Linked DNA regions of Arabidopsis thaliana. The protein of the gene in region 1 interacts with the protein of each later gene in a pairwise test. Each region holds a gene or a part of one and is shown in the gene's direction. Other genes may lie near its edges.

The links.
Region 2: the proteins of AT3G20510 (region 1) and AT1G15760 interact in a two-hybrid assay, tested with the Arabidopsis thaliana proteins (one large-scale study listed by BioGRID).
Region 3: the proteins of AT3G20510 (region 1) and AT3G50910 interact in a two-hybrid assay, tested with the Arabidopsis thaliana proteins (one large-scale study listed by BioGRID).

The regions. Positions count from the first base shown.
Region 1 is NC_003074.8:7,154,826-7,166,329, forward strand, and holds AT3G20510 (Transmembrane proteins 14C), read left to right. Parts: upstream 1-5,851; 5' UTR 5,852-6,058; coding exon 6,059-6,257; intron 6,258-6,896; coding exon 6,897-6,984; intron 6,985-7,093; coding exon 7,094-7,166; 3' UTR 7,167-7,570; downstream 7,571-11,504. Other genes in the region: AT3G20490 (Rho GTPase-activating protein), read right to left, coding at 62-758, 1,239-1,557; PAP18 (purple acid phosphatase 18), read left to right, coding at 3,101-3,247, 3,727-4,395, 4,581-4,769, 4,868-4,956, 5,200-5,419; SVL3 (SHV3-like 3), read left to right, coding at 8,020-8,107, 8,191-8,451, 8,572-8,681, 8,779-9,280, 9,369-9,410, 9,486-9,773, 9,857-9,999, 10,084-10,585 and 1 more; AT3G20530 (Protein kinase superfamily protein), read left to right, coding at 11,493-11,504. UniProt on the Arabidopsis thaliana protein: May be involved in free fatty acids export.
Region 2 is NC_003070.9:5,422,774-5,427,166, forward strand, and holds AT1G15760 (Sterile alpha motif (SAM) domain-containing protein), read left to right. Parts: upstream 1-2,842; 5' UTR 2,843-2,940; coding exon 2,941-3,549; 3' UTR 3,550-3,893; downstream 3,894-4,393. Other genes in the region: AT1G15757 (Molecular chaperone Hsp40/DnaJ family protein), read right to left, coding at 1,469-1,623, 1,707-1,803; AT1G15770 (mediator of RNA polymerase II transcription subunit), read right to left, coding at 4,119-4,393.
Region 3 is NC_003074.8:18,913,661-18,925,164, forward strand, and holds AT3G50910 (netrin receptor DCC), read left to right. Parts: upstream 1-5,666; 5' UTR 5,667-6,126; intron 6,127-6,524; 5' UTR 6,525-6,528; coding exon 6,529-7,294; intron 7,295-7,669; coding exon 7,670-8,092; intron 8,093-8,184; coding exon 8,185-8,339; 3' UTR 8,340-8,641; downstream 8,642-11,504. Other genes in the region: AT3G50880 (DNA glycosylase superfamily protein), read left to right, coding at 1-670; HB28 (homeobox protein 28), read left to right, coding at 2,760-3,509; AT3G50900 (uncharacterized protein), read left to right, coding at 4,462-4,806; LPPepsilon1 (Phosphatidic acid phosphatase (PAP2) family protein), read right to left, coding at 8,743-8,970, 9,073-9,146, 9,232-9,457, 9,562-9,873.

The DNA.
Region 1 (11,504 bases):
AATCCACAGGAAGCAGAAGATTGTAAGTATCAAAATAAGAAATAGATTAGGAGTAACCTACATATAATCAACAAGGAACACCTCTCGCTGGCTCTCCCTATCATTGACAATTCCCAGAGGAAAGAAGTTTGGTAACCGCTGTCGAGCTAGATTCCGGATCCTTGGATCACTATGCAAGAAGAAACGATGAGATGGAGGAGAAGGGTGGGAAAAATCGTGGAATAGCTCAGTTTGCTGAAAGCCAGTCAAGTTATGATTTCCGCTATTGCTACTACTTGCCACAGCACTGCTTTGTTTCTGAGCTGTGCTAGTCGTCTTGATGGAGATAAAATAGTCCTGACAAACATCATCGAAAGCTGGTGTCTGAATCTTGGAACTTGCCGGGGAAAAATCTTTCCACAGATCTTTAATACAGGGGATAGATCCAGGTTCCTTTCTCTTCGGTTTACTTGCAATAGATGGTTGATTCTTTGAGAATGAATCATGTTTTTTAGTTGCTCCGCTTAAATCTCTGCTGGTGGATGGATGGTCATCTTCAGAATCTGAATCTAGTAGCTGGAACCTTCGTAGAGGACTACGACTTGACATCTGAAACAACGATGCAACAGAACTAATCCCAGAGGCAGCAGATGCTTGAACATCCGACTGCTTTCTTTTTCCCCGAGAGATAGAAGGTTGATTAGATAAAACCCCAGAACCATGAAGTGGCACCCTTGAGCTGCAACTAGAAAAATGACTTCTTGTTGAGGCCGGTGCGTCTGCATGAAGCAACACAAGTTTTATACCAAGATGAAACCAACACAATATGGATGACTTAAAATATTACACTAAAGAAATCCAAAAGAAACCAGTTTGAGTGGAATGAAGCTTAATCAATGTCCTTATAAATAACAAATTCTCAGCCTGAAGGCTCCAAACCCACTCTAGTCTACCTATTAGTGTCAACAACTGCAATCAAGTTTTCATCTTTGAGCCACAACAAACTGATCCTGATATCTAAATAGAAGAGGGTTTGCATCAGGCTTCCTAAATCCATCAGTTTTAAGTTCTCTATGATAAACTAAGGGATGGTCTTTCTATCAATGTGTTCACGATCCAAGACGCCTAATGAATGAAAGATAGGCTAATCAGCTCATTGACGTTTAATAAGAGATCTAACAATGCTCGATTCCTATTCCAGCAGTTTAAGTAAGACCCATATTCGAAAAGACGAAGCAGAAGCTCAAAATTGTAATTACCCGTAGGAAAATCCTCAGGAGAAGAGAACTCTTCAATGTCATCATCCCGATCCTCTACAGCTACGCTTCTATCATCTTTCACAGAACACTTGTTGGGATTAATCCCTCGTCGCAACCGCTTGAGAACCGGGCTTGTAAAATCTGGTTCAAGCTCCCGATCGGAATCTGAGACAGTAAGTCCCAACTCTGGCTCGTTATCGCCGTCCCCGATTAATTGGTCGCCGGTGGAGCTAGGGTTTTGATGGATTTCCGATTGGAGATCCGATGCAGCATCAAGATCAAACCCTAGCGAAAACGATGGTGGCTCAATCGAATCCATGAGAATGAATTTAGGGTTTGGACTAGGAGATGAAGAGACTTCAAAGACATGGAATTGGCGCCTTGGTGTGCCGAAGAAGCTTGAGATTTCGTAAAAATTCCCCGCCTAGCGCACAATCCATGATTTTAAAAAAATTTCAAGTGATTCTCAATTTCTCATGTATTAATTTTCGTCGGGATATTTACCGCCGCAGAAAATAATTATTTTGGAAAGAAAAAAAATCAGAATGGGCCGTGAAATTTCAAAGTTGGATAAAGCCCATAATTTAATTTGGTGAACGGTCTTCTTTTTTTTTTTTCCCGGCAAATAATTTCATTGATATCAAACTGAAATTACAAAGTCAGTATACAGAACATTAGAAAACAAATTATTACATAAGCAGATATATGCGCCATGTAGTGAGAAAGATGCACAATTGGGAAGTGAATTTGACGATGCTTTCCTTAGAGAAGCCTTATTCGCTAATGAATCATTAGATTCACTATTTTCCTTCTCCATTTCTGATCTTCCTCTAATGCGAAATGTATGCATCCATCTACTCTAATGTTGTTCTTAATTGTATAATCAACTAATCTTTTTTTTTTATTCGGATTTATAAATTCTGATGATGATGACATATTGACAACACTTTTATTATTCGATTACAAATACTAATTTCAATTAATTATTTACAAAATTTCAAAATCATGTTAAATATTTTGTAATGTATAAATACATTATACATATCGATTACAATTTTTTTATTATTGTTTATTTCTATATCTATTGCAATAATATGTTTTAAGACAAAAATTGGACATATGGAAGTTCTTAATTCACGAGTTATTCATTACACCGAAAATAAATTTGATTGGTGACACGATCACGGTATTACTAATTTGACATATGAACACATTTTATCATAATTGTTCACACTTAACGAGTGCTCGAACTCGAATTACCAAAGACATCATTGGCCTTAAAAAGTGTAAAATAAAGATGTTTTAATTACGAATCCAATGTCATCTTTTATTTTTGTATCTTGTTTTTGTTGGTCGACTTTGTCATTTATTTTTGTTTTATCTTCATTCATTGCTTATAAGTTAAGGCTTGTCCTCCATTTTTTGTCATTTGCTCTCGTGACAGCATCTCGATTCACCGTTTTTACTTTTTCTCTAACTTTCTATTTTTATTTATATCATTTTACTTCTTCAACTTTATTTTTTCATTTTTTTGTTAGTCATTCTTGGATTAGTGTTTTCTTTCATTCTTGGACCATACTAATATTCAGATAATACTTCATACATTGCAAAAAAACAAAAATAAATAAACCAAAATTCATAAGGTATCATAAGAAATCAATTATAAGAAAAAACAAAAATCATTGGACAAGACAACAGACTGAATTATCGTTTTATCCTTTTAAAATGAAAATCAACACATTCATACGAGATATGGTAAGGACAATTTAGTCATTTAGACACGTGTCGTGCCCGCGTCGCAAAAGCCTATAAAGAATCCATTTACCTTTTCTCACTGAATCTGAAAGAAAAAGCTCGCAGAGATGGAAAAATGGGGGATTTTGCTACTCGTAACATTATCAGTGTCAATAATCTTTACTTCTGCGGCCGCAGATGATTACGTCCGACCAAAACCTCGTGAAACCTTGCAGTTTCCATGGAAACAAAAGTCCTCTTCTGTACCCGAGCAGGTATAAATTAGAATTCCTTAAGCTCTCCTCTGTTTTGATGATTCTTGTTCCGAAAAAATCATGTTTTTAATTGTCTGAAATCTTTCTATTCTTGTAACTGCATGTGGGTCTCTGTTTGTTTTCTCCGAAAGATCCGATTTTTGGGTTTATGCTTACTCCAGAGAATCCCATTTGCTAGTGTCCCGAAGTCTTCTCAACACTAGTTTTCTAATGGATAAATCTAATGACTGTGTAGTTTTGATCAACGCCATTAGTAATCTTCACTAATCACTACTTTGGGTAAAAATGGCCTTTTCCTAAATGATTATTTATAACAATGGAGATGAATTGTGTTGTTTCATTCTGAAGAAAACATTGATGCTTGAGTGAAATTGTAGCTATGGAGTGCATGATACAGTTGATACTTGATAATGAACATCAAAGGTTCTGTTTTTAGATTCATTTGGTCCTGTTTCTTATACTGAGATTCTTACCTGCAGGTGCATATCTCATTGGCTGGAGATAAACATATGCGAGTTACTTGGGTTACGAATGACAAATCGTCTCCTTCATTTGTTGAATATGGAACATCGCCAGGGAAATACTCTTATCTTGGTCAAGGAGAAAGCACCTCCTACAGCTATATAATGTATAGATCAGGGAAGATACATCATACCGTCATTGGGCCATTGGAAGCGGATACTGTTTATTATTACCGTTGTGGTGGAGAAGGACCTGAGTTCCATTTGAAAACACCACCAGCTCAGTTCCCGATTACTTTTGCAGTGGCGGGGGATCTTGGACAAACCGGTTGGACTAAGTCGACTCTAGATCATATTGATCAATGCAAATATGCTGTGCATCTACTTCCAGGGGATCTATCGTATGCGGACTATATGCAGCATAAGTGGGACACGTTTGGGGAACTAGTTCAGCCTCTGGCAAGTGTAAGGCCGTGGATGGTGACACAGGGAAACCATGAGAAAGAGAGTATTCCTTTTATAGTTGATGAATTTGTGTCTTTCAACTCGAGGTGGAAGATGCCGTATGAGGAAAGTGGGTCAAATTCAAATCTTTATTATTCCTTTGAGGTTGCTGGTGTCCATGCGATCATGCTTGGCTCATACACAGATTATGATCGGTACTCAGATCAATACAGCTGGTTAAAGGTAAGGATTATTGCTTGACATCCATCTGTTATGTGTATCTCCCCTTTATTGCCACAATAGGTCTAAGTAGTTAGTAAAATAGTGCTTGGTTGAATTAATCTTTTTCCGTGAGATAATCTTTTAAGATCAGCAGATTCTGTTACACTTATTGGATTTAATTTTGGTGTTATCTATGATATGTGTAGGCTGATCTCTCGAAGGTGGACCGAGAAAGAACTCCGTGGCTAATAGTCCTCTTCCATGTACCATGGTATAACAGTAACAATGCCCATCAACATGAAGGTGATGAAATGATGGCTGAAATGGAGCCTTTGCTTTATGCGAGCGGTGTTGATATTGTATTTACTGGTCATGTCCATGCTTATGAACGCACGGTATGCTCAGAGCTGTGTTGAATCTCAATAGAAATATATCTCAGCTTTTCTTCTTGTTTCCCTATGATATTAAACTGGTTTATTGTGCTGTTCGACAGAAACGTGTCAACAATGGTAAATCAGATCCATGTGGTCCCGTACACATTACCATAGGTGATGGAGGAAACAGAGAAGGATTGGCTCGCAAGTAATTTCCTCAAACTGATTACTTCTAGCTTTATCAAATCTTCATTCTTTCTGTGTTATAAGTAAACTATGAACAAGAATTCTCTGATGTGTCCATGCCAAACCTCTGCATCTTAGTGTCTGAGATTCTTGAGCTAATTCAACATATTATCTACATGAAACTAATCACACTTACGGTGCAGTTGTTATATGATGAAAGTAGTTGATACTTATCATGAAGGGATCGTGTTTTTTTCACTTTCAGGTACAAAGATCCGTCACCAGAGTGGTCAGTCTTCAGGGAAGCAAGCTTTGGACATGGGGAGCTTCAGATGGTGAATTCAACACATGCGCTATGGACCTGGCATAGGAACGATGATGACGAACCAACAAGGTCTGATGAAGTTTGGTTAAACTCTCTTGTGAACTCCGGATGCTTGAAGAAAAGGCCTCAAGAACTCAGGAAAATGCTCTTGGAACCTTAATTATATCCATAAAGTGAGAATTTCAGTAAAATAGTCCATTAAATATAGAAATCTACAAGCTTGTAATGTTGTTAGCAATGGGACTCTTAATCACACCATTGAAGAAGATTTTCACCAACTCTATAGAAATCATAGTTCCAACTTTAAAATTTTGTAAACTTGCACTTTGCTTTGTGTTGTTTTTCCCACTATTTATAATCTTAAAAAAAAAAATCTAGAAGCTAAAGTGACATACGTTAGATTTTGTCAATGTAGATGGTTCAACGAATGTGACATACAAAACAATGTTGAAAACTATTTCCTTTTGAACATTACTCACATTAGGTACAACAACTGTCACTATCTTAAAATGCAATACTAAAAAACATTCTTCATCACATTAATATAAAGTTGAGATACATATAAAATTACAAATTAATTACAATTAGGCCACAAAAATGATGGACCGTAAGTGGAGGATTAGTTGTCTGAAGACCGTTGACGAAAAAAGGCGGACCTTTTCCACGCGCTCACCACACAACACTTTCATAAAATCAATTCATCGATCCATCGTCTCTATCAGATCAATTCATCGATTGCGATCGCTCTTTCAATTTTCTTCATCACCGGTGAAAATAATCGAAACCCAGCACGAGAAAAATGCATGATTTTTGCTTCACTATCCCGTACGGGATGCTTCTCATCGGCGGAGGATTTATCGGGTACATGAAGAAAGGAAGTATAACATCTTTCGCCGGAGGTGCAGGCACTGGATTATTACTCATTCTCGCTGGTTATATCAGTCTCAAAGCTTTTGAGAAGAAGAAGAATTCCACTATTGCTATGGTTCTTCAGACAGGTTTTTTTCTTGCAAATTTCTTTCCTTTTTAGCGATCTGGGTTTATATGTCTTTAACAGATATTTATGTTTAGGAAGATTTATTCGTATGATTCCGTTAGATGTCCATAGGGAAGACTTTCAATTACAAGATGTGAATAGCTTTTAGTGACTTATCACTTGAGCCAAGGAATTGTTTCATTTTGTTTTCAATTTGTTATGGTTCAATGTGTTGGATCATGAACTTAGCTTGAGAGTTGATGATAGGTTATGTTATAAGGTTAAGGATCTTATTGGACCACTAACGATCTGGATCTGAATAAGTGATTTGTGTGATGATGCTAAACTTGCTATTCAAAGATAAAAAAAAATTAATATTTTGGTTGTGTTTGGATCTTCAATTGCAGCAGTATTTGAATTGGTTTGCTAATTTTTTCCACTAATGTAATAGTGTCTCTCTTGGACAAGATGCTGTTTTACTGCAGATGAACATTCAATTTGAGTTGTTAGATGTTGTAGTTGAGTAGCTGTTTTTAATTAGTGTTCTTGCCATTGATTGACAATAGAACCAACCTCAAAGATATAACAAGCTTGCAAAATCGATTTTCATTATCTATGGTGACTGAAACTCATCTGAATGTTTCTTTTTTTTTCGATACAGTCATCGCAGCTGCTCTCACACTAGTCATGGGACAGCGTTACTTGCTGACTGGAAAGATTATGCCGGCTGGTTTGGTTGCTGGGATCAGGTAAAAATCCTTCAACACTGGCTGGCTAGTATCTTTGTTTGCATCAAGATTTGGTATTTTTAAGTTTTTACACCATTGACTTAACTCTAGAACCATATCTGTATTGCAGTGCTCTCATGACCTGTTTTTACGTATACAAGATCGCTACTGGTGGCAATAAATTTCCAGCAAAAGCTGAATGATGGTTCTGCTACATGCAGATGATACTATCCGTTGTTGAATTTGTCGATTAGAATTCTTTTTGGTGTACACAATGCGGTTGTCATAACGCCTTAATAGCTTGTATTAGTCAAAGAACTGCATATGGTCTTGTGTTTTCTTGTCATCGTGTTTTTGTAACCACAAACTGTTTTGAGCTATACTACTATATATATTGAGATATATCTGCCGTTTCGATACACACTTGGGATCTGGGGATGAGCACATCGTAAAACAAAATAGAAGTTGATCCTCAAAACTTCTTTGTAACCTTGTGTCATCACAACAAAAAATCTTCAATGTGTTTGTTCTCTCCTTAAAGTATATCTTGATTCATGCAGTAACAAAGGCAAAACTCTTTTGCAAGAGTATAGAAACCAGACTCAAGCTGTGCGATGGTGATTCTTTTGGAGAAGTTGGATTTGTGCTCTGATGTAAAGGGAAACTTAAGCTAAAAGGTCCATCAATGGAGGTGACACATAGTTTTAGAAAATGTGCTTTTCTCATGCTAGAAATGTTATGGAGACCCAAAAATGCTTTTCGGAAAAAATTCTCATGCTAGTAGCTAGGCTCTACTTAACGAGGTGACAGCTAAAATAAGTTCTTTTTATTCCATTTTCAGAATAGTGACATTCTTCTCACAAATATAGAAAAACTACAATTAATGCTACTGCAGAGTCTGATTACGTTTTAAGCTAATTTTTCCATTTTTAGGACGTGGTAGATTGTGTAGATTATTGCTAAACAGCTCATGAGTTCAATAATTCACTTATTCTTCACTCCATCTTCAGCAAAAAAAAAAAAAGTAAGAAGAAACACTGAAAGCTCTCCACTACCATGGCGTGTCCTAGAGTGATTTTTCTGATTCTGATCACGTTCTTCATTTTACAGACTGCTTTCTCAAGTTCTTGGCAAACATTGAGTGGTTAGAGACAGAGTTCTCTCACTTTTTATGTACGTGAATTTTTCATAAATGTTCCTTACAGTTTCTTGATGTGTTTTCTTTAGGGAAACCTCCGGCTGTGATTGCTCGAGGCGGATTCTCTGGTATGTTTCCAGATTCCAGTATTCAAGCATATCAGTTGGTGAATATAACAACTTCACCAGACGTAATGCTCTGGTGTGATCTTCAACTAACAAAGGATGGTGTTGGAATCTGCTTTCCAAATCTGAAGCTTGACAATGGTTCTAACGTCATAAGAATTGACCCACATTACAAAGAAAGGTTTTCTGTTGATTTCACATGGAAGGAACTCTCTGATGTGAAATGTAAGTCCTTTTAACTATATCTCGTTTCTTTAAACCCTCTTCTTGTAAGTGAAACTTCTTAAATCAAAATGTTCAATCTTGTGGTATATCAACTCTGCAAATGTTTTTTCCCCTCAACAGTGGCACAGGGTGTTGTCTCAAGACCATATATATTCGATGATGTATCCTCGATATTGGCTATTGAAGAAGTAGCAAAGTTGACAGCTTCAGGCCTCTGGTTGAACATTCAGGTATAATGTAGATACTCTTTTAACGCTCAGAGTCTTTTCTATAAGAATCATAATTAAGTAATCTTCTTCCTCTACTTATCCGTCTCTACACTTATAGGACAGTGCTTTCTACGCAAAACACAATTTGAGTATGAGAAACTCTGTTGTCTCTCTATCAAGACGCCTGAAAGTTAACTTCATATCTTCTCCAGGGATCAGTTTCCTGAAGAGCATGAAAAACAGTGTCAAGCCGACTGTGACAAAACTCATCTTTAGGTTTCTGAAACAAGAACACATAGAACCCTTCACCAACCAATCTTACGGCTCTCTTGCCAAGAATCTAAGTTATATAAGAACGTTTTCTTCTGGAATTCTTGTTCCAAAATCTTACATATGGCCCGTAGATTCAGCTCTTTACCTACAACCCCACACGTCGCTTGTAACAGATGCTCATAAAGAAGGCTTACAAGTTTTCGCCTCGGAGTTTGCCAATGATTTTGTAATTGCTTATAACTACAGCTATGATCCAACGGCTGAGTATCTATCTTTCATTGACAACGGAAACTTCTCCGTTGATGGTTTCCTATCAGACTTCCCGGTGACTCCATATCGAGCCATCAGTAAGTAAAAAACACACTGTTTTTCTGTTTCTTCATCTAGTTTTGCATTGCATATAGCTACATTTATGATTCTTGTTTTCTTTCCAAGATTGCTTCTCTCATGTGGACCCTAAAAGAGCTAAGGAGCAAGGTAATGCACAAGAGAAAACCATAAACATATGATCACTAAATCGTTTAGTTGCATTTTAACAGTTATGTCTTGCAGCTAAGATAACTATTATCTCGAAGAATGGAGCGAGTGGAGATTTCCCGGGCTGTACTGACTTGGCGTATCAGAGAGCTGCAAGCGACGGGGCTGATATTCTTGATTGCAATGTCCAGATGTCTAAAGACAAGATTCCCTTTTGTATGAGCTCCTTTGATCTTATAAACAGCACTAATGTCATCGAAACAAGCTTCAGAAATCTGTCATCAGTAGTTTCAGAGATTAACCCACGGAGAAGTGGTATCTACACTTTTAGCCTGACCATGTCTCAGATACAAACCTTGAAGCGTAAGAGCCAAAACTACAAAGCAAAATCAAGATTCAATATAAAGACTTTTAATGAATTGGCTTTGTTTCCCTCTTTATTGCAGCCACTATTTCGAATCTTGAAAAGGACTCTGGTTTATTCAGAAACCCAAGAAACAACAAGGCTGGGAAGTTTCTTACATTATCCGAGTTCTTGTTTCTTCCAAACCGTTACAGCTCTCTCTTAGGCCTCTTGATAGAAGTGGAGGTGGGAGTTCTATCTGCAAATCTTGTGTGTAAATAAGTACAACACATGACTCTTTTCTTGATATAGCATTTTTTCGTTTCTTAGAATGCAGCTTATTTAGTGGAACATCAAGGAATTAGCGTGGTCGATGCGGTACTAGATGAATTGAAGAGAGCTACTACTCAACAAAACAAGACAAGTGCAAGAACAATACTGATCCAGTCTACTGATAAGTCTGTCTTGATGAAGTTCAAGGAGAAGAACAAAATGAATCATGACGAGCTGGTCTATAGAGTCGACGACAACATCCGTGATGTAGCAGATTCGGCGATCAAAGACATCAAGAATTTCGCAGGCTCGATTGTCATCAGTAAGAAATCAGTCTTTCCCTACAAAGGGTTTATCATCCTTGAAAAGGAGACAAATATTGCTTCAAAGCTAAAATCAAACGGGCTTCGTGTTTACGTTGAAAGATTTAGCAACGAGTGTGTAACTCATGCATTTGACTTTTACGATGATCCAACGTTAGAGATAGACTCTTTTGTCCGCGATGTCCAAATTGATGGCATCATCACTGACTTCCCAGCAACCACTGCAAGATACAGAAGTAAGAAAGTAGTCTCATCTTCTCTTTATATCTTCTTTAACTTTCCTTGAGCCAATCTGAGATTATGTTTGATTGCAGAGAACAAGTGTTACGGCGAATTTGGTCTGACTACAACCGGTGAGCTCATAACTTTCGCGAATCCAATGCTTCTTCCACCAGCTGAAGCTCCATATCCAGCACTACTTGACTCAGATGTGACGGAACCACCATTGCCTGAAGCAAGAAGTCAGCCTCCTGCTTCTTCTCCATCAAAGGCAGAGGAAAAAGCAATAGAAGTTCCCTTTGCATTTATAGCCATGGCTATTCTTGTGTGCTTCTTCATTTCAGTTTAGTGATAAGTGTTTGTAACCGACTTCGACTGCAGTATCTGCAAGTGAACCTTATGAATAACAATGTCTAGTACTATATCATTCTTCTTTTTAAGGTTTCAATAAGATATCTAGAATTACAAATTTAGAAGAGATATTAATAGGAATATGGAAATGGATAAACTTAACTTTAAATCCAACAAAACCAAAATTAGCTTATTTGATCTTTTAACTCTCTTCCAATGGATTCTTCACCCAAATTTAACCATCCATTTATCAGGAAAAAAGGAAACATAAAATAAACAATCAAACATAAGGGAAAGATTCTAAGTGGCAAACTCATTTTTGTTTGTTCCTTCTTTCTTTTGAGGCCAAAAGAGACCAGATTCATTTTTGGTTTCTTCAAAGGCCAAACCTTATTTTCTTATTTTCTCAGACAAACCCTTTTGCCATATTACAAAATAAAATTTATTCGTCTGAGAATTATCTTGATCCCTTTTGGATTCGAGGTTCAAGAACATTCATGAACTTCGAGTAAATCAATCATCTTCTTGTAGTAATAATCCAGGAAGATACATTATCAACACACATAAAACAGAATGAAAATCAAT
Region 2 (4,393 bases), on another chromosome or scaffold:
GCAACACAAATATATTCTAAACAAATTGATTGTAGTCTAATGATTAAGTTAGAATGATATCAAGAAAAAGAAAAAAGTTAGAATAATAGAGATTTTGTCATATAGATATCACAGTTAGAATAAAAATCCCATCAAATACAAATCTACACTCTTACTTTTATTTTTGATAGAAAAATTCTATGTATTTTACAAATTTCGGAGAATTTGCTCGTATTAAAGAAAATAATGCTATGTGTTTAATTCATATCTTATAACTAAAACATAATTTAAAACTTACTGTATTAATTAAGAGAAAATAAAATCTGACTTATTTAATGGAAAGAAGAAGAAACAAACTATAGCATCACAATAAATAAATAAATAAAGGAGTTAGAATTGAGCATTGAGGGATAGATGGTGGTTGCAATTTTTTTCTTTAAGTTAAAAAGCTATCCGGCCAAAAGCAAAGCAAGTGGGTCCCATCCGGCGTATCTGTCCAAAAGTCTCACTATCACGAGATCAGTGACGCTCTGATCAACCTCAGCCCTAACTTCTTCTTCTTTCTTTCTTTTTTTCGATTATTATTTCCCCATTTAATGAAAACGAAACGTTATTTATTTTAATCATTCACGATTTAATAACGACTGCTAGTACACATCTGCCTCTACTCTATACCGGTAACTGTGCGATAATCCCCCAAATTGAATGATAAATCCAACTTCAGATTCTCTTTATTTTCATTTCTCCATTGACTCTAATATTGAACTCAACTATTGAAATTTTCATTTAGCAACAAAATTTGCCAAGTACGTATGGCCAAAAATATACTCTAGTATTAGAAATTGTTATTTTAATCGTCAAGAAAGTGGTCTTTTATTAAGGCATTATTTATTAGTTTTAGGGATATGTCGCTTTCCATTAATGTATGTGTCCCCTTCTCTTACACGTTCACATAAAGGTTTTATTGCTTTGCCATTTTCCTTATTCTTCCTTTTCTCTGTTTTTTCTTCTTTTTCTTTTTCTGGTTCAAATTCTTCTTCGTTTTCTCATATCCCGGTCATATGGCAATATATCGATACTAGGTGTTTGACTCAGTTGGTGATGAAAATATACATATAACAGACTTAACAGTATAACACGAACACACGTTATAAAAGGCGTATTTTATGGTCAAACAATGTATATAGAATCTTCATATTCATTTCCTTCAAATTCTGGTTAAAAAAGAAGAAGAATAAATATAAGTGTTTCTCGCAATTTTACCGAATATATGATCAGCAACTCATGCACCATACACTCTCCAAGAAAAGAAAAACAAATCGATTTTTGGTGAAGTTCTGATCTTGCAAATCTTTTTGTACAAAACTTAGTGTAATAACTATTATATTTGATGTTAATTATGTAAATTACTACTATTCAAACATATACAAATCTTTATTAGATTGGATATTTTATACATTTCAGTCAAATTAAACGCATATATAATTTATTAAGTGTAACAACAACATACTACGGAACCAAGACAAAGGCCTGTTGTAAACTTCATTCTTGAACAAAACGCAATGCAGCCTTTTTCCCCTCCGACTTCAGGCAAACACGGACTTGTTTTGAAGCATACATGTTCATCCTCTTTTATTCCAGAACCTATATTTTATTTAATATTAGTTCATTCATAAAAATGATAAAATTACGTTCATAGTAAAAATAACAGAATAATCAGCCGGTACCAGAAACGATATCAGATGTTGAACGACAATGAACATAAGATATAACAAAGAGAATGGTGAAAACAAATGCTATCAAATTCTTTTTGGTGATAGCCATTTTATGATATTTTCTGTTTACGATTTTTCTCTATACTCATGCCCATCACACATCTATATATACAACAGACATGTAAATAGGTATCTTTTCACACACACACAAAAAAAGTATCTTTTATGGTCAAAGATGAAAAAAAAAACATAATCTTTCAAGAATTTATTTCCATAAGTCAAAAGAAAAATAAAGAAAAGTAATTTCTCATTTAAGTAGGTTTTGAACATTAGTACTAAATAGCTTTTATTCTTTTTACACACAGTTGGGGGAAAATTTACTTTTTCCTGACTATAAATCTAAGAAAATTAATTGGAAGATTTTCTCCAGTTTCATCTCTGACCAATGTGCATACTGCATAGTGTTGTTACTAATAAGGGAGGAAATAGTTGGCCTATACCCTATTATTAATTGTGATATATTTTCCAATTTTTTTTTTTTTCCTATTATTGAGTATATGATATATTTTGTATCAGTTTTATGTAAATGACATGATCAGGAATCCCTTAAATTTCCAGTTTTTAATAGTAAAAAGTGTATTCTAATATTTACCCTCACTTAATTGTCTTATTTTCGAAGCGATGTTTAGTTTTTTAGTAAAACCAAAGCAAAGTAGATTCCAAAACACTGGTGTATTAGTACATAATAATACTACGTGTTAACTTTTTAGTTATAAAATACAAGAGTGACCCATACACAAAAAAAGTAAGATCCCACTGGGTTTTGCTCCTTTCCCACACACCGTGATTGATGGTCACTCTCCATTCTCCACACTCTCACACAATTTCTCGATATTCTCTACATATTACATACCCACCACTCCACTCCCATCTTTTCTTTTATTACTCACACAAGCATGGGTTTACTTTATCTGTAATATTACACAAATGTAATCCCCATTTCCTCGAATAAAATTTGAAAAAATGAATAACCCACTGATATTAAATCAATATTTTGTTCTGTGTGTTTTTCACTTTTGACCCTCTTATATTTTCACTTTAATCAGATATAGTCCCTCTTTACGTCTCAACTACCTTAACGACGAAGCCCGCTACTTGCACAAAAGTCAAAAAAGCCCCCCACTCACTTTTCCTCTATATATACATCATCTCCCACACAAACACAAACAAACATAAACCTTCTTCAATGGAAGATTGGTGGTTTTCATGGCTCTCTAGAACAAACCTTGAACCTTCTCTCATCCACGAATACGGCCTCTCCTTCTCTCAGAACGAGCTCGAACACGAAGACATTTCTTACTTCGACCACGAATTTCTCCAGAGCATGGGAATCTCTATCGCCAAACACCGTCTCGAGATTCTCAAACTCGCTCGTCGAGATCGCAAGAACTCTCCTCCTCTCACCTCTCGTTCCATCTCCAGAGTCGTGACTGCGATTAAGAAAACCAGGAAATGTTTATCCGATCACGTACGCGCCTGGATCCGCCGTGAAGAAGAGTCGGCGTCGTCTCGAGCTCTGGTGTTGGTGCCGAAGAAGACTAGCAACGGGATTGGGAAGTGGAGAGGTGGATTCCTGAAGAGGAACAAGAGATCTGTGATGCCGAGCAATGGAAATGGTGGATTGGAGAAGCAAGAGAGGTTGTTGTTGACCAATGGGACTCCTTGTAGAATCGATAGCTTCTCAAGTCCCATGGTTTTCGATTACAGTTTCAAGGATGAGAAACTTTACGCTCAAGATACTTATTTTGAAGATATCAAATGGGATTCAATGTTTCAGAATCTCAAACCTACTTAGAAAAATCTCTAAGTTCTGTTTTATGTTTTCTCTTTCAGCTTCTTCTTCGTTCTTTATATCAGAATTGATGGTGAGAGATGAGGTTTTAGGGTTCTTCCACCATGTTTTCTTGATTTTGTCTTTGTATGTGATTAGGCTAGTTAATTTTTGTTAGTTAACAATTGGAAAATAGAGTTGAGTGGTGGTGTCAGGTGTGTATGTGAGTGTGTGGGGTCATTGTAATGAGTCTGTCTCTCCAGTCTTTGCTTTTGGCCTAAGTCTCTGTTCCAGTCAAAACTTCTTTACAGCTTTTATCACTTTTTACTCTTTTCTCAAAAAATGCTCTGTTTACACACATAACCATGACGCTAAGCCTGCCGGAGTGATCTTACTCTTGAGGTAATCGGAAAGATCTTGAGCTCAGGACACTACACAGTCTACACTAGAGCACACAAAACATTGTGCTTCCAAATTTTATCTGTTGTGTGTGTGTCAATTTTCAGATATACCTAAGGGAAGTGTAACTGAAAACCATACCTCAGTTCTTGGCTTCTTGCCACCACAAGTCACAGTAGATTCCATATCTGATGTTACCAAACCAGCAAAATGCTTGTAGCTATTACCAACGCTTTCCTCCCAATGAAGCAACACTTGATGGCATTGGGGTTGTCTGACGCTTCCTTTTCATGGTCGCCATCTTGCGTCATGAAGTTTCTTTCTTGGAGATGGCACTTAGTCATTGCAACCAAGTCCACACCAAATGAAGCTCTTGAACCTTTGCCTGGTACTGAACCAGCAATCCTATCAACCATGCTTACAACAGATCTAATATCACATACTGCAGACGAAAGCGCTTGTGGTGAGA
Region 3 (11,504 bases), about 12 Mb from region 1:
TCCGTCGCCGAGGATCATTATCACCGCGTCTCCTCCTCTATCAACAAAATCGACTGTTGATATCGCTCTACGTCACTTACAAAGCTCCGATGAACTTCTCGGAGCATTAATCACAACGCACAACGATCCTCCACTGTTCGACTCAAGTAATACTCCGTTTCTCTCCTTAGCGAGATCAATCCTATACCAACAACTCGCGACGAAAGCAGCGAAATGTATCTACGATCGATTCATCTCTCTATTCAACGGTGGAGAAGCAGGTGTTGTTCCTGAATCTGTGATCTCACTCTCCGCCGTTGATCTTCGTAAGATCGGTGTCTCCGGGAGAAAAGCTAGTTACCTCCACGATCTAGCTGATAAATACAACAACGGTGTGCTTTCTGATGAATTGATTCTGAAAATGAGTGATGAAGAGTTGATTGATAGGTTAACTTTGGTTAAAGGAATTGGAGTGTGGACTGTTCATATGTTTATGATCTTCTCGTTGCATAGACCTGATGTGTTGCCTGTGGGAGATCTTGGTGTGAGGAAAGGTGTGAAAGATCTTTATGGTTTGAAAAATCTTCCAGGTCCATTGCAAATGGAGCAGCTTTGTGAGAAATGGCGTCCTTATAGGTCTGTTGGTTCATGGTACATGTGGAGACTAATCGAGTCTCGTAAGACCAAATAGCACCTGCCTGGTAATAGTTTAACAATACCTCTCTTTTTAGGTTGATAGTAACTAGAATTGTTATGTTACATAGACAAACTTGATTCTTTATAGAATATTTCATGCTTGACTTGGAAATTTGAACAGTTACATGATTAGAAAGGATAGGAGTATAACATTTGTTTGACATTAAGTTCTCTGGATTGGTTTTTGTTTGGAATGCTTTCTAGAAGTAGAAATCTCCCAAATCTTAAAACAAGAATCATAAAGTATTTATCTTTTCTTGATGTATCTTGTTTATCTAGCAATAGTATCAATCCTAGTAAGTAACATGACGATACTTTATCACTGAAGCTTCTATATCTGGTAGTTATCGTTGAAGTGTGATTTGTTGCAATCAATCATTTCAGTAATCGGGCAGTTAATATGATCCTGTGACGAAGAAGCTTTTCCATGCCCATCACTTCCTTTCCAAGTTTCACTTGCTGGTAATCTGAGTTATTTTGTGTCTGTAAATTATGGAGCACGTAAGAAAAATCCTTCTTGTATTTTAACTGTATTCCACGGATTATATTTCTGTGACTGTTGTAAACATGTATCATGTATGGGGTTTCATTTGACTTGGATATTGAGAAGCATGGCTTATTTACCAAGTCTTTTGTTTCTGTCTTGTACTGGGCTTGGCCCAATGTCTCATCCGGCCCAATTGATCAAGTGGTAGATAGCTTGGATCTGATTTTGCCAAGACAGATGTGAAATCAACCCTTGCTTTCTTTTAACTTAAAATAGTTATAGGAAGAAATTACTCTTATTCAGAGAGACGAATTTAAAAGTCTAAGATGTCACGCGTAACATTCAAACCTCTTAATAAAAGTTTAGTATATGGCTAATCTATTCCCGTTGATTGATTTCAATATTTGGTAAGAAATGAAGATGATCATAAAAGTGCTACACAGCTGTGGGAAACAAAGAATCTGAAAAATGAGACATGAGGCATGTGGAGATAAATAAAAGTGCAGGTTTTGTTGTGCTTATGTGGACCAGCTTTTCATTCTTTCACACTTTTAATTCTTCAACCCTCCCCACCAGAAAAATAATTTATCATGTCTTCTCTTTCAAGACTATCATTAAACTCTGATTGTTAAAGCTTATTTCATTAAACAACTCTATTAGAAACCCTAATTCCATTTGTATGGGAAATTGAAGCTATAGTAGTTAACTTCTAACTCCATGCAAACCATAAATACCTCTCATAATGATAGTAAGAGTATTATTTTCTCATTGATTATCACAATAAATCTGATCAAAGAATTTGTGGAGATCGATAAATAAAGATACTCCTACTATTATTATGACAGCATAAAGGATTGACAAACATTGTTGTTCGAAGTTTTAATCTATTTTATGATATGTTAGAACTTAAAATCATAGTCCTAAAAATTTATAACTAACAATACATAAGACATAATTTTAACTTACATTAGAAAAAAGTTTTGAAAACTAACCCATTTAACTAATTTAAAATAATCCCATAACTTTCCTCTCATTTATCTCTCTCTCTCCACTCCTCAAGTCTGTACTTAGTAGGTAATAGTTTGACTAAGCTAGGTTTTTTTGCAGACATACATTAATTAGTAACACCATCAATAATCATCATAAAAGAAAATAGAGAGAAAGAGAGATAAATGCAATAATGGGAGATGGACCAAAGGTGCAGGTGGTGAAAGATAACAAACATATGACAATGTCTCGAAATTAAGAGGCACCACCACACATACACACACACTCTCTCTCTCTAGTAGGTTTGTGTTTTTAAAATCAATATTTTTGTTGGATTCTCATGTGAAATAAAACTTGATGGGTGATAGGAAACAAACACACATACGTCATCATCATCCTTAATTTCTATTTCTCCTTCTTCTTCATCATCAATATCAATCTCATCTTCCACTACTCCTCCCCTCTAACAATAAGCAGCATCTCTATAATCCCTAAGGTGAGTCCAAAAGTCGTCTATTAATTATTAAAGGAGAGATTTTTGCATGCATTATTGAATGATTTATAAGTATTAATATTTAACAAAGTTTTGTTGTTTTGGGTCAGATTCACAATGGAGCTTGGAGGAAAATGCAATGCAATTACAACCACAACAATGATCTCAACAGAAGTAAAGCCACATACGGATCCGGAACCAGAAGCCAAACCCGAATCAGATCCATCCATGGCTTTATTCCCGATCAAGAAAGAAAACCAAAAACCAAAGACACGTGTCGACCAAGGAGCTAAGTACCGGGAATGTCAGAAGAACCACGCGGCCTCAACCGGAGGACACGTGGTGGACGGATGCTGCGAGTTCATGGCCGGCGGAGAAGAAGGTACACTCGGTGCTTTAAAATGCGCCGCCTGTAACTGTCACCGGAGCTTCCACCGGAAAGAAGTGTACGGACACAGGAACAGTAAACAAGATCATCAGCTGATGATAACTCCGGCGTTTTACAGCAGTAACAGCTCGTACAAGCCACGTGTAATGCATCCAACGGGTGAGATTGGACGGAGGACTTCATCTTCAAGCGAGGATATGAAGAAGATTCTGAGTCATCGTAACCAAAACGTTGATGGGAAAAGTTTGATGATGATGATGATGAGGAAGAAGAAGAGAGTGAGGACAAAGATCAATGAAGAACAAAAGGAGAAGATGAAGGAATTTGCAGAGAGATTAGGGTGGAGGATGCAGAAGAAAGATGAAGAAGAGATTGATAAGTTTTGTAGGATGGTGAATCTGAGGAGACAAGTTTTTAAGGTTTGGATGCATAATAACAAGCAAGCAATGAAGAGAAACAATAGTAACATTAGTGAATAGTTTGATGATCTGATAAAAGTGAAATAAATTTTTACAATCCTGTTTTGCTTTTATATATAATTTTTGCCCTTCAAATTATTCAAAATCTTGAGTATAAATCTGTGGAATCTTGTATGTTTTGATTGTTTTATATTGTATCTGGGATTATTTTTTTCTTTTACTTAATTTGTGGTTGAACAAAGTGATAAAATTGGACCTTCAAATAAAGAGGGAAAAACGTGTGTAATTAATAATTTAATGCACAAGTATGGTTAGTACAATTAGCTGGAATAGCTCAGTTGGTTAGAGCGTGTGGCTGTTAACCACAAGGTCGGAGGTTCGACCCCTCCTTCTAGCGTTTTTTATCCTTCAAATGGCTGTTTTAAAATTCTGATTCATACTTTTTTTTTTCTGTCTGAATAGAAAGTTGATTTTGTTTGAAAAATCTGATTCATAATCATGTACATGCATGATAACAGTCTGATGTTAAACCATCGTAAGGAGCAGATTTAGCATTCTAGAATAGATCTATTCTGCTTACTTTTACCCCAAATTTAGATTTTTCCATGATTAATATATTGTTAGATATGGATCAGACAAAGAAGATTAGTCTAAACTCTAAAGCCATTGTCCATTTGATTTGTCTAAAAGATGTAGACGTAATAGTCAGCATAAACACACATTTGACCGGCGATTTAATAGGGACGAACAAGAAGATGTATACATCATGTGGGTGTAACACTAACACATGCTTTATTAATTACATATACAAAAATTTAATTTAGTTAGTTGGAGATCTCATACACACAACAATAATTAAAATAAAAGTCAAACAGATCTACTATTTTCCTTTTCATATCACAAAGCAAACTTGTCCTACTACTTAAATCAACACCATCACGAAGAAAGTTTCAAGAACTCACCTAAAACACAAACAAAGGAACTCCACTTTTTTTCCACACCACATCACACCATGTTTAGAGCCATGAGCACAAGGAAAATCCATGGTGGCTACGAAAAGCTCGGCGATGAAGAAGCGAGACTGAAGAGGGTCTCTAGCGTTCCGGCTAGTGTTTATGGTCATTCAAGAAACCCGGTTCAAGAAGTGAAGAAGACACCGACAGCGAAACCAACCGGTGGTTCTGTTCATCCTTTGTTTAGTTTCTTTGACGTTCATTTTCAAAGAAAGAAGAAGAATACGGCGAAGAAGAAGAGTTTAGCAACGGCGAAACCAGAGTTTGCTAGGTATATGGAGTATGTGAGAGAAGGAGGTGTGTGGGATCCGAGTTCTAACGCACCAGTGATTCATTACAGATAGATTCGTCAAGGAAAATGAATAAAAGATTTGTATATCGTCTTTTTTTTCCAAATATATAATCTATGAGAAAGCCAAACAATCCTTGATTCGATTCGAAAAGATGCATCAAACAATGTATTAGTCATTTTTGCACGAATTGATGAGTGTTTTGTACACTCTCATGGAGATTCCGTGAAGAATAAGATAAGTTCAAGGGTCTTGACTTTAATATATGATCAAAAAGTTGATTTTGGTTTTCTTATTTAAAAGGATATGTTATATGAACTGAATCAATTCGTAGTAGTTGCTAATATAGAAGCGGTCCCAGAGCTGATATCTTTGAATCATGTTCTATATTCTTCATTTCCCACCTTAGCTTTTATTTTAAGAATTCAAAATCAAGTGAGAACAAATTCAAAATAAAGTGAAGAAAAATTCAAAATTTCCAGTAACAGATGCATATTTGATTTTCCCTTTTCATCAAAAAATAAAGTTACGAATAAAATATTATTATATTAAGGAGAAAAAAATAGATATGATCATAGTCTCATATTTCTTGTGAAGACCAGTTTTTTTTTAAAACTATATTGTTAACCAAGTTTGAATACTCGCTCTTTATTAAAAGCGTGTTCACATGGGTCACGTAACACGTTTAAGAAAAACCTGGCTCTAAAAATATTATCAAAATCCCAGATTTGACGAAGACAAGAAAATAAAAAAAGACTTTTAAAATCGTTTTCAAAATGGGCTTTACAGATTCGTGAACAGACAAAAATTGGGCCATGGGTTAATTTGCTTTTTAGGCCACGTCACCGTTTTAGTGACGTTTCTGAATATTCGAGATGTGACCCCACTTAAACAAGATCCCTTGGACGACGTCGTTTCGACCACTTCACGAAACCCTACCGTCGATTTATTTACACAAAGTACCCCTTCATTGTATAGCGCCGTCCTTTGCTGTAACTCTTACCGTCAAAGGTTATATCCGTCTTTCCAAATGTCTCCCAAAGACACGTTTTAAAAAAATAAAAATAAAACGAAGAAAATCAGAAAATGGGTCGCCAAGAATAGAGGAAGAAGCAAAGAAGAAGAAAAAAAAAAAACAGAGCGTTTCAAATATTTGCGGAGATACAAAGCTGAGAAGAGATAAAAAAAGCCTTGGAGAAGAGGTTTTCTTCTTCTTCTTCTTCTTCTTCTTCTTCTTCCCTCCTCTCCTCTTAACGATGTCGTATCACGCTTCTTCTTATCTTCTCCGCCGTCGTCTTACTTCCGTATAACCTCGATCTCTCACCGTTGAATCTTCCTCAGCTTTCTTCCGTGGAGATCTCCTTCGCGCTCGAGGTAAATCCTTCTCTTACGCCTCCGGATTTGATGTTTTCACCTTTCTCTGTTTGTTGTTTCGGTGAAATTTCTGGAAATTTTCGTTATGGTAGGTCTGAATCTCGAGAGATTCGATTCATTTTCATCGGCTTGACCTATTGTTAGCTTCTAGATTATCAGATTTGTGATTTGATTTTGCTAGCTTCTTTTTTTCGTGCGAGAATTGAATCAAGTTTTGTTTAGGTATACCGATGATTGTGGTTTGAGCACGCGGTGTTTGCTTTGTACCTTCCCAATAGCTAATTCTCACTTATGCGAATGACCATTGTTGGTTGATTTCTGATTCGATTGAAATGAAGAAACGCTCTTTGTGGTTTCGGTTTTTTTTTATTACTAATTTGATACTTGAATGATTGCAGAGCCATGCCTACTTTTTCTGCTATTGCTTTGGATAGAATGCTAGAGCCAGGGGCTTCCACGTCTGTCGAGAGTGTTCCAAGCACAACTAATTTGTTTTATTCAAAGCCACCGATATCAAAACTGGAGAAAGGTAAAGGTAAATTACCTAATGAGAGGACAGTTACTCGTCCTCTGATGTCACCTGCTCTCTACGCCACACCTGATGCGATTCCGCTTCCTAATTCGCCATCGTCTTTCCCACCGTCGCCTTATATCATCAACCACAAATCACGTGGACCTCCACGTCTTCTTAAAAGCTCTTCTGAGGCTAATGTTGTGTCTTCTTCCCACCAGAAGACGCTGGAAGAGGAAACTATTACTGCTGAAACAGATGTAAAGGTTTCCCCTCGGAGGAGGTCCACTTCCTTCTCGTTTCCTATCACTGAGGTTACTGAAGATGATTATTCCAATGGAGTTCATGCTCGTACGGTTGGAAACTATAATTTTGATGGTATTGTTGATGGTCCTGTTGGAAATTGGAGTCCGCTTGATGGGAAAAGTGGGAATGGGAAGTCAGAGTTGGATAACGCTGCTAATGGTTTAGAACGGGTAAATGGTCTGTCTGAGCCAGTCCCTATTAAAACAGACAAGGAGAGTGAGTCAGAAGATTTCTATGACCCAGGTGAATCAGCAAGCTTCACAAGTAACACAGACGTAGAGGGTGATGCTGGGGACGAAAGTTCACAAAGACTTGCCACACCTGTGGGAGAGTTTTATGATGCTTGGGATGGTACTTATCTAAATCTTATTCTCTTACTAATCATTTCCTTATGAGATGGCTGTCAATGCTTATGATCTTAACGTTCCCAGGATAATATGATTAGTCACATTTTAGAGTCCCTTCTTTTTAACCTTTGAGCATTTGAGGGTATTCTTTCTTTAATATGCAGTAGTAGCGCCTTGTCATGCTTTGGAATTTTGTTTTCTTCTGGATATATTGAAATTTGAAAGTGATGAGTTATCTTTCCAAATCATGATGATTAATGCATTATTCATTTCCCTTGATGAGTATCTGCAAAGTATCCTGAAAGTTAAGCTTTAACTCGACTCTATGATTCGGAACTATTTAGTATTTTGTAATCCATCTAATTTCTTGGTTTTTCAGAACTATCAACCGACAGTGGAATGCAGAGTTCAGTTAATAACATCGAATCTGAATTAAGTGAGATAAGGCTGAGTTTACTAATGGAAATCGAGAAGAGAAAACAGACAGAGGAGGCTTTGGAGCAGATGCAAATTCACTGGCAGAGACTCCGTGAGCAGATGGCTCAGGTGGGTCTGTTCGTTCCTATTGATCCTACCGCCTCCACCAACAACATGAATCTATCAGAAGAACTACGCTGTCAACTCGAGATTGCGAGGTTTGTCTCTGACTCTTTAGGCAGAGGTATGGCAAAGGCCGAGGTAGAGATGGAGATGGAATCTATGCTCGAAACTAAGAACTTTGAAATCACACGGTTGTCTGACCGTCTACACTACTACGAGGCCGTGAACAGAGAGATGTCTCAACGAAACCAAGAAGCCATAGGTAGTAGAAAATCACTCTCATTCACCAAATTTATCCATTGTCATTTTCTATCGTATAATAAAAATCTAATCTCACAACTCTGTTGATACCAGAGGTGGCACGACGAGAGAGGCAGAAGAGAAAGAAGAGGCAGAGATGGATTTGGGGATCAATTGCAGCAACCATTACTCTAGGAAGCGCGGCATTGGCATGGTCTTACATTCCTGCAGCCAAACCATCATCTGAAGTATCTCTTAAGGATGAATGATTAAGTAAGTCTCTTGTATACGTAGTGGGTTTGATGCAAGCAAGAGAAATAAAGATACAGGACGTTTAGCGTACGCCTTGTGAATAGAAATATATACATATTTGGTTATTGTTTTAACTGTTCTCAAGAGGATGTATAGCTCCGAGTAGCTGCAAACACATTTTTCTTGCGGTGGCATACTGATGAGTGGCAGCCACAGTCACTAATATTTGGTTCGGTTTGGTTCTTATTAACATTCAATGTTAGCTCTAGTGTAAGGTGCTTGCCTTGCTTACATCTTAAAGAAACCTTATTTTTTAAAATCTTGATTTTAACAAACGGGCTCTGAATCCTTCATTTCGATATTTTGAAAAGAATTTGAGGGATAACAATTTTAAGCTTTATAAGTAAAGCTTGGTATTGCTTATCTCTCGTCTTTGAACCAGTTAAGTACAACGTACGCTGCGAAAGCTAGCGCAAATGTAGCTGCAAACAGAAATACAGATATTTGCACTAATAGAGATGCCTCGAAGGCTTCACGAAGAAGCGAATTCCACATTGTGTACCATAAGATGCAGAAAAGAGAACCAACAATGGCACCCACCACCACTTGACTGCTTGTGTGCAGTTTTTGAGAAACCCTTAACCGTATCTGTGATAGTGCAGAGAGTGTGAGATCAATGGCAACTAAATGATTTCATATATGAATGAAAAGCTTGAATCAATTAGGTGAAACTTGTTATAACAGACTTACAAAGTATGAACCCAATGCGAGGATTAAGCCGCTAAGAAACAAAGACACACCGTTGGTTCCAAGCCATTCCATAACTGCAGAAAACACGACTCGAGTGAATCCGTTGTAAACAGTTCCACGATAGCGAACGATGAGTAGTGAACAGCTTAAGCTGCTTACCGGATAAAACAGCAAAGACAGATATGAAAGAAATGGATTGAGCATGAGAAGATGGCATCCCGGGATCAGATCGCAATGTTGTAGTAGGCCTCTCTTGGTTAAGTATACGTTTAAGAACTACAGAGAGAGCAGAATTCGAAATCGATCCAATGACTGCCCACAAGGCTGCACCATCATGTCGCAAAAGAATGATTGAACCAAATAGAACAGACACAACCCATTTGCTCTGTCATCATTAATTAAAACCGGTCAGAAAGAAACACACATTGATACTGAAGAAACATTTCATCGAACACATTGCGTGCATGAATGAGATTTCCATTAACTAACCAGACGATTAACAATGGCTTCAATCCCACCGCCGGTGACCAAGTCTTTCCGTATCTCCGATGAGTTGTTGATGAAAGATTCTTGCTCCAACGCTCCAAATTGTTCGTTACCGTCATTGCTCCTGCTTCCGACTCTGCTAGAGAATCTTTTAACGGTCATAGATCCAAAGCTAGAGACAAACAAAGGAGACCCACGAGAGATAATCGAACTATAGCTCGAAAGTCTCGATCTTTTAAGGTACGAGGAAGAGTCAAAGTAGAAATTGCAGGTGGGACAGTGAAGAAGAAGAAGAAGAGAAGACGACGCTGCCATTTCCAAAAGGAAGATAAAAGTCAACGTAGTATCAAATCCATCGCTAAAGGAAGTAAAATTCGTAAGACGAAGAAGGGAAATATGCAAATCGAAGAAATCAATGTCTGGTTGAGAACAAGAACCTGAGAGAGAGCTTTCTTCTTCAAATCAATCTTCAAAGTTTTTTTGCTCGAAAACGAGTTTGTTATTTGTTGTTTACCTTGACGCATTTTATAATATCGTGACCACTCATATTCTTCCACGTGGCATGTAGAATAAACGGGTAAACCAATATTGAAGCAAATTAATGGGCTTTTGTTTCCTCAGCTGAGGCCCATATATTAATTAAAACCATTCTTAGTTTGATGTAGCATCAGGTGATCTGGAGTGGCTTCATGAGATATATGTCTATGGGCTTAGTTTTGTAGCTCTTTTCATTTAGCTTTTGTACAAATCCTCATTAGTTTGTGCCCAAAAAAAAAAAAAAAAAAAAAAGTACAAATCCTCATTAGTTTAAAAGGCATATGGTTGCCGAGAGGATTTTTTGTTTTGTTTTATGCTTCTCTTGTAAAATGTTGACATGAAAAGGTGAAGAAATATTTACCTGATGTTATAGAAAAGTTGGAATATTGTTGGAATATCACATATTTTTAAAAACTTATTTCATATTTTTTGTATCATTGTGTATATTACAATTAACACATTTGATTAGTTTGTTTAATTAATCTTTTTCATTAAAACATAATTAACGAAAATTATATTAATCTACATTATTAAAAAGAAAAAAAAGTTATCAAGAGGAACTTTTCGGTTTCTTTTCATGTTATTATTTCACAACAAATTTACATATTACCGCTAAGTTATAATGTTTCACGGTCTTTACGGATGAGTTATAATGTTTTACGGAGGAATTAAATATTGCTTCAATAATAGATCAACGGTGACAATGTCGTGTACACGTCGATTTATTCGGAAGAATATTTAAATGTTTCACTTTCAGCGTTTTAGAACAATGTTGCTTTATGTGGGCATACATATATAAATTAAATATGGAGGTCTAAATTCTTTGTTACCGTTTTGTGTAAAGAATCATATCAATTTTTTAAGCTAAACTAGATCTATCGGAGTTTTCTTTTTTTATATACAATTTGGGAGATCTATTAGAGTTATGTGTAAAATATTCATATTTATCCTCGATTGTGGCGATAAATACAGATATACGGTCGCAAGGTATGGAAACTACCGTGGTCACATCAAAGATTTGCATTAGCCAAGTTTTTTTTGGTTCTTTCTCGTAATTCCAAAAAATAAAAAATACTTTAGGACATGGAAAGAAAGAAAGAACGACAAAAAAAAAAAAAAAAACTTTAGAACATGGAAAGAAAGAAATTTAGTATACAATGGGCAGAGTGACGATTGACGCATACCATGGCATGGCTTATCATAGGAGATGAAAACTGTGTGTCGTTTTTGGAAGTAAAATATATTTAATCAAGAGCAAGATGCGTTCATCACACTGTCAAACTCAATCTTCCAAGTACAGTATTGGCAGACATTGATGATGACCTAAAGATTTTTTTTTCAGAAAATAGAAAGAATTAAGCTATCAATTTTAAAACCGATTACGATGTTTTTGCACCTTATTAAATGGG